3 linked regions of the Xenopus tropicalis genome follow. The protein of the gene in region 1 binds, or shares a complex with, the protein of each later gene. Links are inferred from orthologs where the notes say so. Each region holds a gene or a part of one and is shown on either strand. Other genes may lie near its edges.

Evidence for each region.
Region 2: the proteins of ptpn11 (region 1) and gab1 are in contact, whole or in part, in a crystal structure (PDB 4QSY), measured with the Homo sapiens proteins. The link is inferred for Xenopus tropicalis from reciprocal best matches to the Homo sapiens genes PTPN11 and GAB1. Residues at the interface, in NP_002825.3 of Homo sapiens: Gly13, Val14, Glu17, Arg32, Pro33, Ser34, Lys35, Ser36, Thr42, Arg47, Thr52, His53, Ile54, Lys55, Leu65, Gly67, Gly68, Tyr81, Gln87, Leu88, Lys89, Glu90, Lys91, Ile96; in NP_002030.2 of Homo sapiens: Lys623, Val625, Glu626, Tyr627, Leu628, Asp629, Leu630, Asp631, Leu632, Asp633.
Region 3: the proteins of ptpn11 (region 1) and pdgfrb are in contact, whole or in part, in a crystal structure (PDB 1AYA), measured with the Mus musculus proteins. The link is inferred for Xenopus tropicalis from reciprocal best matches to the Homo sapiens genes PTPN11 and PDGFRB. Residues at the interface, in NP_001103462.1 of Mus musculus: Gly13, Val14, Glu17, Arg32, Pro33, Ser34, Lys35, Ser36, Thr42, Thr52, His53, Ile54, Lys55, Leu65, Gly68, Gln87, Leu88, Lys89, Glu90, Lys91, Gly93, Ile96; in NP_032835.2 of Mus musculus: Ser1005, Val1006, Leu1007, Tyr1008, Thr1009, Ala1010, Val1011, Gln1012, Pro1013.

The regions. Positions count from the first base shown.
Region 1 is NC_030677.2:163,821,451-163,825,060, reverse strand, and holds part of ptpn11 (tyrosine-protein phosphatase non-receptor type 11), read right to left. Parts: intron 3,505-3,610; coding exon 3,388-3,504; intron 3,312-3,387; coding exon 3,198-3,311; intron 1,462-3,197; coding exon 1,365-1,461; intron 1-1,364. UniProt on the Homo sapiens protein: Acts downstream of various receptor and cytoplasmic protein tyrosine kinases to participate in the signal transduction from the cell surface to the nucleus. Positively regulates MAPK signal transduction pathway. Dephosphorylates GAB1, ARHGAP35 and EGFR.
Region 2 is NC_030677.2:59,326,641-59,330,842, reverse strand, and holds the start of gab1 (GRB2-associated-binding protein 1), read left to right. Parts: upstream 1-1,384; 5' UTR 1,385-1,942; coding exon 1,943-2,050; intron 2,051-4,202. UniProt on the Homo sapiens protein: Adapter protein that plays a role in intracellular signaling cascades triggered by activated receptor-type kinases. Plays a role in FGFR1 signaling. Probably involved in signaling by the epidermal growth factor receptor (EGFR) and the insulin receptor (INSR).
Region 3 is NC_030679.2:21,190,810-21,195,013, reverse strand, and holds the start of pdgfrb (platelet-derived growth factor receptor beta), read right to left. Parts: upstream 2,843-4,204; 5' UTR 2,305-2,842; intron 1-2,304. UniProt on the Homo sapiens protein: Tyrosine-protein kinase that acts as a cell-surface receptor for homodimeric PDGFB and PDGFD and for heterodimers formed by PDGFA and PDGFB, and plays an essential role in the regulation of embryonic development, cell proliferation, survival, differentiation, chemotaxis and migration.

The sequences.
Region 1 (3,610 bases):
TGCTGACTTTTCAGTACATCTGCATAGTATCACATAAGCCTCTGCTAACCACCGCAAAACTGGCATAGATTAATCTAAAACAAGTTCCCATAAAAGTACTTCATATCAGAGATGATCCAAAAGAATTGGGCGCCCGAGGCAACCCTTAGCAAACTTCCATTCTTGGTTCCAGTCCTCTGCTGCTGCCTCAGCTGCAAGAAACAAAATCACCAACCCTCCTCAACAGGTCCTTTGCCACTGCTACTGTAACTTGCACTAGCCATCCTTCATCCCCATTGCTTATTGCAAAATCAAGGATCTGAAGGAACAAATATCGCCCTTGGCAGGTGCCTACCCTGACTACCCCTTTGTCCAGTCCTGCTTCATATGAAAGGGACAGACTGCTTATGCATGAGTGCGTGTATTTGTATATACATTTAGGCAATCACCAAAAAGTGGAGATGCATTAAAACAGAACAATTGCCTTCTCAAAACCAAAAGCTATTTCTACTAATGACACAGCACTATGAACACTCACTTTGCTTGCTTGGCACAATAGTTCCTTATAATAGAGTGCTGCTACTACCTCTTTGTGGCTTAGTTGTCTGTTCAGTAATGATTATATATGGTTGCAGTGGGTAAAGAATACATCAACCACAAACCTAGTGCAGGTGAAAATAACAAAAACTAATTAGCACCTAGTCATTTATTATTAACAGAAACCTTCTGCGAGATCTGAAAAATAATTAGCAGCCATAAATTTACTTGTGCTACTGCAATATTATATATCCCACCAGGGTTTCTCTAGTTTTTCTTTCTACGTTAACTTTTTTACTCCAGACGTTTGTAGACAATAAAGCTCAAAGCAAACACACTGTAATAAAAAAGGCTTTTGGTTCAAGTAAAACATCGATTCAAGGCTTTTGGATCAAGGTTCAAAAATACCTGGCATGTCAATTCAAATAAATATATTTTTGTTCTTACCGACAAAAGGAAATCCTCAGACACCATTTAACATAAGACTGCATTACCACAAAGTTATTTCTGGGATTTTAGCACCCCCAAGTTGCATAAAAATAATTTAAAACAGTCATAATTAGATGCTTAACTGGAAAGCTCCAGGTAAAATATGTGGCCAAAAGTATTCCAATAACTGCCTTTCCAACTTCGTATTCCAAAATCAAGGGTATGAACTTGAGTTGGTGTTCTCTTTGCTGCTATAACATTTGCTACTCATCTGGGTAGGCTTTCCACTAGATGTTGGAATATTGTTACTGGGGAGTTTCTTTCTTACTTCATACAGTCCTGCCCTAGTTGAATACCAGCATGATAAATCTCACATCTCTTAACTAACATGGGGCAGAATCAAATCAGTCAGTACTCACAAGGTAATATATTCTTGTATCGGTTCTTATTTTTGTTCTCTTGTCTTTGTCCCTCTTTCCTGCTATACAGCAGTTTGCATTCTTGCTGTTGTAAAGTCTGAAAAACAAATATAACACAAAATAAGTAGTCTCACAGAATTCTTGGGAGGACTTCCCTTAAAGTTAAACCTAATCACACTAATCACAAATTACTGCTATTGGAGATCAAAACTGGCCAGTTAAAAAAAGGAGTCAATGGGATTCTGCCTGCAGATTAATGGGCATAACTACAGTACATATCTAAAATTTATTTTATTCAAATATCCATATTAAAAAAAGCATACACAGGATTCGCCTTACGTGTTTCGCACCCTTCTGGTACTTAGTCATAAGCAGTTATATCCCCATAAGTTCCAAAACAAGACAATTGCAATTGAAAGAGCTCAATGTTTACATATATATTAATTAAAAGACATAACTGCCTAAGAATACGCACAAGGCGGAATCCTCTGGGGTTTTTATTCTTTTTTAATATGGATATCTGAGTAAAATTATTTTTTTAAACTTGTTGTGATGAGTTAGTCATACTTTATTGATACGAACCACACTATTGTCAAACTCTTGAATCCAAGAACTGCTCTGTGGACTGCAGAGCGCACATAATGGCCGTGGGCCAAGACAAGACGAAGAAGTAGCTCTGACTGAATACAGGTAGTTAATTCTACTATAATACATGCTGTATTGCAGGCAAACTAAATAGTGCAAAGCAGTGATGGTGGGTTACTCTTGATTGGGCAAGGCTAAAAGGGGACCATATCAAATCAGGTTTACATGTCTCAGAACAGACAATATAGTCAGAAAAAAAAATCATTGGTGCTTCTACTTTATTATTAAAAAAGGCAGTGTGTTTTCTGCAGCACATAAGAAAACTTATTCTGGGTTCTAACACATCTAATTCAGACAGGAGTTCACAAAGCCATCTCAAATGTAAAGAGACAGTCCATTTGGTAATGAGTTCATTTACAAAGAACCACTATTTAAATACACTGGAAGCATGTTGCGGGGACATCAGACTTCCATATTGCTGCAGTTAGTTTTATGCATCGATAAGCAGCTGGATAATTAAATTGTAATTAAAGTTTTTTGTAGGTGTGGTAGCCCTTATGTTGCACATAAGGTTTTAACTACATTAATTACTTCTGCTGCCTTCAGAGGCTTTACTACAATTAAGGTTATGTATGAAAGCCTGTATTTGGAGATCTCTTCCTCTTTTCCTGTGTGTTAGTTCACTGTGTCTTTTCATTTAGGAACTTTCATTAAGCAGCGAATATAAACTACCTGCAATTTGTGTCATACACTGCAGTACAACCTAAGGAGTGCAGATCTAGATTACTGAGAGAATACTGCAATGCTGCAAAGTGTCCTGGGAAGGGGTATAAATAGCATGTCTTTAGTAGGAAAAAATTAAATTATATGCACGTTACAAAGACAAACATTAATAAAAAAAAACATCCTTAGTGCTTTTAAAGTCTGTAAAATTAAATGCTTTATCAGTAATCTTTCAAAATGTAATTACTGCAGCAATGGAACAAAAATGATGCAGAATCTACTTCTCTATACACATAAATCAATGGCCCCTCTTATTTTCATCTTTGTGTCCTAACAATCTATGATTGTGTTTGTTTGGAGAAATTAACTCCATAGCATATTGACTTTAATTATCATTAAAGGAAACTGATGGGGAGCATTCTAATGTTAAGCATCAAACCGTAACTGCAAATGAATATAAAAAAAACCACACAAATAACAGGCCAAACAGAGGGTAACAAATTGGACACAATACTATAAAAGTACCTCAAATTCTTCCCAGAATCCTTGCTTAAATTTATCTGCAGTCTCTGCTGGCTTGCTAAGTTCCTTTACCCGGCTTTCAATTTCTGCAGCATTAATCCGCGTTGTGTTCAGTGGCTAAAAGAAAAGCTAAATTCTTAGCATATGGGTAAATAGGTACAAGGGGTTAATTGTCATGTTTAATTAGTCTTACCTGTTTTAGCTGCAGTACAGTTCCTAAAGTCTCAACCATAGGATTTTTTTTATAATGTTCCACGAGATCTGTCAGAGAGTCAAATTTCTCTCCCCCTCCAACATCATATTTTAAATCCTGGAGAAAGCAGAAAAAAAATGCAAGGTATCTGCATAATACAATAATTCAATATACTAAGGGGCTGATTTACTAACCCACGAATCCGACCCGAATTGGAAAAGTT
Region 2 (4,202 bases), about 100 Mb from region 1:
ATAAAATTTCCATGATCAGTTTTAGAGATCTTTCCAGTCCCAAATTGTTAGCTTCAGTTTAACAACCACTGGATATTTATGGGCCGGACATCCCTTTTATGTACAGTAGAAATATCTAACTACAGGTATGGGATTCCTTATCCGGAAACCCATTATCCAGAAAGTTCAGAATTACAGAAAGGCCATCTCCCATACACTCCATTACAAGCAAATCATTCTAATTTTTAAAACTGATTTCCTTTTTCTCTGTAATAAAACAGAATCTTGTACTTGATCCCAACTAAGATATAATTCATCCTTATTGGAGGCAAAACAATCTTATTGGGTTTATTTAATATTTGAATGATTTTTAGCAGACTAAAGCTGGCCATACACGCACCGATACTATCGTACGAAACCTCGTTTCGTACGATATTCGGTGCGTGTATGGCATGTCGGCGAGTCGACCGATATCGCAGGAAGCTGCTGATTTCGGTCGACTCACCGATCGGCCAGGTTAGAAAATTTTGATCGGGCGCCATAGAAGGCGCCTGACCAAAATCTGCCATCAGCGCTGAATCGGCAGAAGGAGGTAGAAATCCTATTGTTTCTACCTCCTTATCCGCTGTTTCAGCCCTGACTGTGTGTGGCGGATCTGACGATGTTTGGTGCGACCGATGGTCGCACCAAACATCGTCAGATCGCCACGTGTATGGCCAGCTTTAAGTTCTGGAGATCCAAATTACAAAAGATCCCTTATCTAGAAAACCCCAGGTCTCAGGCATTCGGGATAACAGGTCTCATACCTGTACTAGGAATGTGTCAGGACACTAGCACTTTTTGCTGGATTCCGACTGGCCTGAATCTTTAGTCATTACTAAACTAAATCCCTGTGTGACTCAAGAGCTCAGGACAAGACAACCTAAGACAACAAAATGTTGCTCCCATTTGACACCATTTTCAACTCCCTAACACTGAACGTGCAAATTAAAGTTAAGATTCAGTCCAGCATTTGGCCAAATGTTTAGTGGAGAATTTAGCATTCCACTGAATTAAAAACTCATGTATAAACTCATGTATACCAAGTCACAGAGGCCCCACAAAGAGTCACTGGGGAAACTTGGCGGAAAAATACCAGAATCCCTGCACTGCAAGCACAAGCCTCTTCACACCCCAGTTATCGGTATGGCCATGAAGAAATGGCCAAGGCAAAAGGAAAGCTCAGTTCTGAGGTGTGGAGAAGAGCCGCGACAATCGCAGGAGTGCTACCGATAACTACTCGATAGGAAACTTTTAGTAGTCAGTGAGTTTCCACTGGAACAAACTGGCGGCCGAGATTGGAGGCGTGAGAGGGATGGGAACGAAGACGACGCTGGCATGGAGGGGCGGGGAAGAGGAGGAGGAGGAGGAAAAGAGAGAGAAAGAGAGAGGAAAGGGAGGAGAGCGAAAGGATTTACTGTTACGAGATAAAAAATGTGTTATATCCAGTGCGTTTCCAGGAGGAGACGGATAAAGCGATTTATTTCTTTGCTCAAACGCGAATCCCCGGTGCTGCCCTCCGTAATGGCACTGGGCTTATAAAGCTTAGCCCGCCTGCGCCTTTTCTTCTGGGAAAAAAAACTTGTGTCCAAAGGAAGGAGGCGGAAGAGGCCAAGCAGCGACTCCTGTCGGGGAAAGGGGGCGAAGGGTGGAGAGCTGGAGTAGTTTAGTCATCCTTTATGTGCGCCCCTCTCAGCTGCTGCACTCATGGACTCACCCTAGTCATAATAACAACGCTGTAGGTACTCTCACTGGGACTGGGAATCCCGGACACGCAACTTTCCGACACAGGAACAACACAAAGTTGCGCAGTTCCCCCCTTTCCCTGCGGGACACAACGCGCCGGTGGGGCCGCAGGAGCAGCTGGATACTGGAGCCCCAAACTACTAACCCGGAGAGCAGGAGGGGAGCGCCGAGGAGCAGGATGATGAGCAGTGGCAGCGGCGGAGGGGTGGGGGCTGGAGGCGGCGGGGAGGTGGTATGCTCGGGATGGCTCCGCAAATCCCCCCCGGAGAAAAAGTTGAAACGTTTCGTAAGTAGATTGCGCCTTCATTTCCTTCCCAGAGGCCACATGTTATTGTTTGTATAACGTGGAAGTTTGCAGTGCTACTGGGCATTCTGCAGCTGTGCTGCTAACGGGTGCCCTGCCATTCTCTCACTATGTACTTATAGCTGTGACATCACTCCTTTATCAGGCACAATATGCCCTCCAGCTCGCAACATAAATAAGGATTCAAGGCTTGGAGCAGCGGCAACCCTCTATCTGTTGCACTACTACACTGCCCGGCAACTCTTACAGACAGGGTTCCCTACATGCTGCTGAACTACAACTCCCAGAAGTACTCTCTGGCCGGGAGTGTTTATGGTTTGATGCAGCAGGTTGCCCATCCTTGCTTTATGGCCTTTCATCTACAGTTATCATGTCTGCAGTCTAAAATCAGTAATAAAAGATGTCACAGTTAGTAGCTGTGGTCTGGAGGAAAGGATGAGGCCACAGGCCAGCTGGGTAGTACTCTTAACTGCCCCATTTGCTTTACTGATGAGGGTGAAGACACACCAAGCTACTTATTTTAAGGGTACTAGACTCCAAAAAATACCCTGCTATAGACAGTACTGAGAATTGCCTCTGCTAAAACACATGAAGAGGCAATTATCAGGAAATGATCAGCATTGTCTATTTTAGTAGCTGCTACTAGTAGCTCTGTGTCTTCACCCTAAGGGCAGTGACACACGGGGAGATTAGTCGCACCGCAACAAATCTCCATTGTCGCTGGCGACTAATCTCCCCACAATGCCATCCCACCGGCTAGAATGTAAATCGCTGGTGGGATGACATACACGGCGCCGCCATTTACCAAAGGTGCTTAAGTTTCCTCTCAAGGCAACTTCGGTAAATCGCAGAGACGCCTGTGCCATCCCACGGGCGATTTACATTCTAACCGGTGGGATGGCATTGCGGGGAGATTAGCCGTGTCACAGGCCTCAAGGTAGTGGCACATCGGGAGATTAGTCGCCCCACGACAAATATTCATTACCGCGGGCGGCTAATCTCCCCGCAATGCCATCCCATGTCGCTTTGTTTTCCCGAAGTCGCCTAAAGTTTCCTTGAGAGGCAACTTCAGGGGACTTCGGGAAAACAAAGCGAAGCGTATGCCATCCCACCAGCGATTTACATTCTTGCCAGTGGGATGGCATTGTGGGGAGATTAGTCGCTTGCGGTAACAAAGATTTGTCGCAAAGCGACTAATCTCCCTGTGTGCCACTGCCCTAAGTGTTTATCATTGTGTCCATATTTGCCAGTTGTGTATTATACTAGATAATGGAAACTAATACTGAAAATTTTATAACAAGTCACACAGAAGTTTCATGAAAGTATAAATACCCAAGAAAACAGACTCCGTGCATTTATAGAGTATATGGAATTCCTGGTATCTCGGAATTTACTGTAGGTGCTGAATGATGTCATATATTGCTTTAGTTTTATTTTAGCATGCTGCCTTTCCCTCTGGAGCGTTGTTTACCTATGCTTTGGGTTTGTAAGTCCCCCTTAAAGCTATAGTGACAATTTAGAAGCTGTTATTCGTTCTCCTGCTATACTGAGATTTTGCATCTTGCTAGCCTCCTGTCACATCATGTTTATTCAGTGCTCTGTAGGTTACCGGTCTCGAAGTGTGGAATAGTTGCACAGGTTATCCTATTACCTGTGCCACACTGTCAGCATTACCACTTGCTGCATCTTTTAGCTGTACTGTGTTTGTCCTGGGCCATCATCTTGCTACACTCCCCATTGAAAAGACAGGCAAACATTGGTAAAATAGGTATAAGGGCAGAAATGTAGCGAGTTATTTCATGTTGCCAATAGTCAGTGTTTAAAAGACAGTATATATTAAGTTTTCCACACTTTAAGTTGCATTTTAATTGCAGGACAAAAAAGCGCACATTGCTTTTCCAGTTTGCTAAAGTATATAGCTGTTGGGTACAGACTTCTTTCTTTGCCTTCCTATTTATGAAAAGCGGATGATCCGTTTATTTTATTATGAGACTGGAACTGGGACCTCTGGTCAATGTTTGTTATTCTGGTTTGCCAACTTCTGTTTCCAAACAGTTTTTTTTCTGGGAATAAGCTGTGTGGGAATAAGGCTGTCAGGAAACTACACGTAACTGTGAACGTTTGCTGAGAGGGC
Region 3 (4,204 bases), on another chromosome or scaffold:
ATCTGCATAAGTAATTACCACATATCAGCCAATCAAAAGAAACATATCTTATTGGTTACTGCACTAGGGTAAATAAGAACTATCCATGCTCTTTGTGAGTTGGCTCATTTTGCCATTACATTTCAATAGTCACAGCCAAGATTTGAACTCCCAGCATCCCCAGCCTGTACAGCTCAAACTTTCTGGCCCTGGAACACATGGTGTGTCACGTAAACTGACCCAATACACATAAAAAGCTGGACAGCTCTGATTTACGGAGTTGTGGAGTTATGAAATCATATTACAGCATATCCTCTATCCCAGTTGGATAATCTTATTTGTTTCCAAACATTCCTGTCAGCACGCAGCGAGCTTTGGCAGCGGAGACGCGAAATGCAATACTGTGTCTTTAAGGGCAAAGCACTTGTTTTACACAAAGTGCGACATTAAGCTGGAGCTGGGCCATCTCCCTGGCTGGGCTCATTTGGAATGCATTGTTCTGGCGAATAGGCATTTAACTGTTCTCTTCCACAACTCCCCGCGCCGCTCATAAATCAGCACTATTGCTTGCAGCCTCTTTTGCAGTGAGTTTGTAGAATGTCTGTGTAGGATAGTTGGCCAGCACAGGTAGGGGGAATATAGGCCCTTTTAAATTGTATTTTTCTATAAATATTTAGACATAGCTCTGTGTGTACATCTATCTATCTATCTATCTATCTATCTATCTGTCTTTTATGTGCATTTATTAACAAAGGTGGGAGCTGCCATACCACTAGTGAGGTAAAATGTAAACACATCCATAATAACAGTGTCCTCCAAGTTATCATGAGAAATTGTAGGGAGCTTGTCTGGCCTTACCAAGCAAATGATGAACTAACAACCCAGGCATGGTAGCAGCCTTGTAAGAAAAATTAAGTTATTAGAAATTATTAAGTATAAAGTACCTGATTTGCAACCCATTTATTTGCATTAAAGATGAGTAGATTGTAAGAAAATTATTTTAATACCAAGTATTTTTAAAGTGTCATCATTCCATAGTGCTGTACAGTAGAAGGTTGTAAACTTACATACGAATACTGATACAAGGGGTACAAACAGAGCTTACAATCTAAAAGCTACATAATCAAAGATTAATAGCTTGACCCATGTTAAACAGAAATCGTTCCCTGCAGTGCAAAGTTTAGCAATAGTTACTAGGTTGAGGGGTTACCTAACAAATTGGCAGACCCCCCCCCCCATGAATATGACTTTCCTGACTGAAGCTTGACCATTTGTGTCTGTTAGTTACCCCTCCCATATAGATTGTAAGCTCTACGGGGCAGGGACCTCGTTCATCTTGTTTCTGACTCTTATTGCAACTGTACCTTGTATTTATTTGTATTTATTGTTGTACTTTGTATTTATCCATTATCTTTAACCCCCTGTTTGTATTAATGTATTCTACTGTACAGCGCTGCGTACATAATTAGCGCTTTATAAATAAAGATATACATACATACAATACATACATACATAAAAGAGCCACCCCTTCTTTATGCCAGTTGGGTACAATTGGGTAAAGAGAATAAAGGTTGTGCCAGGCTAGGAGAGCTGTATTGGAGGGCACTTTATTACTCTGGATCACTAGCAAAAGGCAGCCTTTTACTTGAAGCATTTTTTTACTCCATCATTAGGCACATCAACGGGCACAAGGGGCAGGATCTGTATTGGGAGCTTGTCTGCTGCTCATAGTTAGTGACAAACTGCATCAGTTGGCAGAAGTGGAGCTGAACTTTAAAACTACTCCAGAGTGCAAAGCTTAGGTTCATAGGATCTGTCCTCTGACTGATGGTACCACATGCATGAGAAAACTGGCACAATGCATCCCAGGGTGGCATACTAAGCAAGCCTTTAGCCCCATATGAATAGACGGAGTTGGGCACCAATGCAGAAAGAAGGTAGATAACTTGGATAAGTTCTGAAGGGGTTACATTTTATCCACAGAATTACTTTCTTTGGGACCTGGTACAGCATCTCCATTGGTTACTGCTAGCATATTAAACCCATAACATATCAAGGCTTTAGGTGCTTGTCAAACTGCAATCTGCAGGTAAGTTCTGATCCATTCCTTTGGGAATTAGCACCACTGTCACACAAACACATGTAAAAGGAATCTCTTCTCTTCACTTTGCTTTCAGCAGAGCAGTAAGGCAGTTTTCCTACTATTGCCCACTTGTTCCCCACTTTTGTTTTCACTTTGACAGCTAGTGGGTAGCCAAGGCAACAATAGTGCCTGGCAGTTTTCCTAACGCCCCATTTCCCATCTCTGTGCAAAGCTTCACTTACCTGGGTCCCACTCCTGCCAGATGGAGCAGTTTAGCAGGGATCCCAAATCTCCCCGAGCTCTTCCTGTTTGTTTCTGTCTTGTCTGAATTTCTTCTCAGTGAGGTCTTGAAAGTGAAATTTTTCTAACGCTGGAATGTTTGACAGCTTTTTCCATTGGGCTTCATACAGCGCGAGTCAGGAAAAGGGGTTTGCCAAAAGAGTTGTTTTGGGGCATTCCTTGGTTATTGAGCAATAAAGTCCATCAGAGCAGCATCCTCCAGTTCAGCCGGCTCTATGGGACGTCTTCAGACAGATGGAAATTAGAAGCAGAGATGAGCGGGGAAAAGTTTATCCTGATATTTCAGTATATGGAAACATGTGCCAACATGGCAGCTTCAGTGATACAAAAATCACAATTGTTCCATCTTTCAGGAAATCAGAAGAGAGTTGCACTTTTCCTGCCTAAACAGTCTGTCTTGCTCTCTACTTCTTTCCAATCCTCCCTTTCTTTTTCCATGTGTAACGCCCACCTCTCCCAATGACTCCCCCCTCTGTGTCAGGGTGGCTGGGAGTCTGTTTTCAATTCTGCTTCATTTTCTCTCTCTCTTTTTTTTTTGTCTTCACTTTTTTTTTCTCTTTCTCAGGATATGAGGGGATGTGTAGAAAATTCACAACTGATGCCAGCTGCTGACTCATGGCTTTATTAAAGCCAACTCATATGAAACTGACTCCTATTATAACAACAAACCGGTGGGTTTATAATTGTTGCTCAGGTTAAATCTGCCCCCAGCCCCGAGCATTTTTAGCTACATCATCAGTCACTTGACTATTCTTTTTGTAATCCATTAGTGGTACAAATAATATATAAACTATAGACTGCTGCAATGGCTACACCAATACTAATATATAACAAACTGGGTAGCTGCATGTTACACTCACATAAATGGATTTATTTGAATATAAAAGCAATCTAAGTATTTTGATACAACGTATTTTGATGGACATTGGAACATACGTGGGTAAAGGTACCCATACACAATCTGGCAGATGACACATGTGCTAAATGAACCTATAATTTACAAGAAATCAAATGTGGTACAAGGATATCTGTTTGGATTGGCTGGCCACCATATACCAACCAATACGATTATATGTACAGTTTTATTACATGTATGGCCAGCTTAAGGGCCCCTATGTTTTAGACAGCTAAGGGGTGCAGTGGGACAGTGTGTTGCTGCGCTACTGCTCCCGTTATGCTTTAAACCCTGATAATATGTGGGGGAATCTTCAAAGATGCAGTTCAGCAAGATTTGGGCATCCCAGAGTTGTACAGCAGTGTTTACATCACCTTTAGAGAAATGCAAACCTTCCATAAAACATTGTGCCCCTTTATTGGGTGGAATACTTGAGAATCCAGTCGCAGTAACAAAGAAACATGGAATCAGATTTACAAAGATTAGGTGGCCAATGTTTTATACATCACTGATGTATTTGGAATATGGCATGTTTTTACTACACAGGGCCACCATCAGTGATTATGGTGCCACATACTACTAAGGGGGGGCACAATTAATGGCCCACTGGTTATTTGGGCCCCCTGGGTTGAGGGTCCTACCATGAAACAGAATGGGCACCTATATAAAGAGGTCATGCCCCCCAATCTGCCAACACCCAATTATATCCAAACTTTGCCTCCAATCTGCACAAACCTGCCCACTCTCCCGCAGCCCCAGCCCTTTTATCAGATCTGGACTGGAATTTAAAATAGGCCCTGGCATTTCAATACACAGAGCCCCCAACAGCCCCCAACAGCCCCCCACAGGCCCAAATAGTGACTGACTATGGCATCTTACAGCTTCCCCTCATTTGCTGGAATACACAGATTGCCAGTCCAGGCCTGTCTTTTGATGAAATCTCTCGG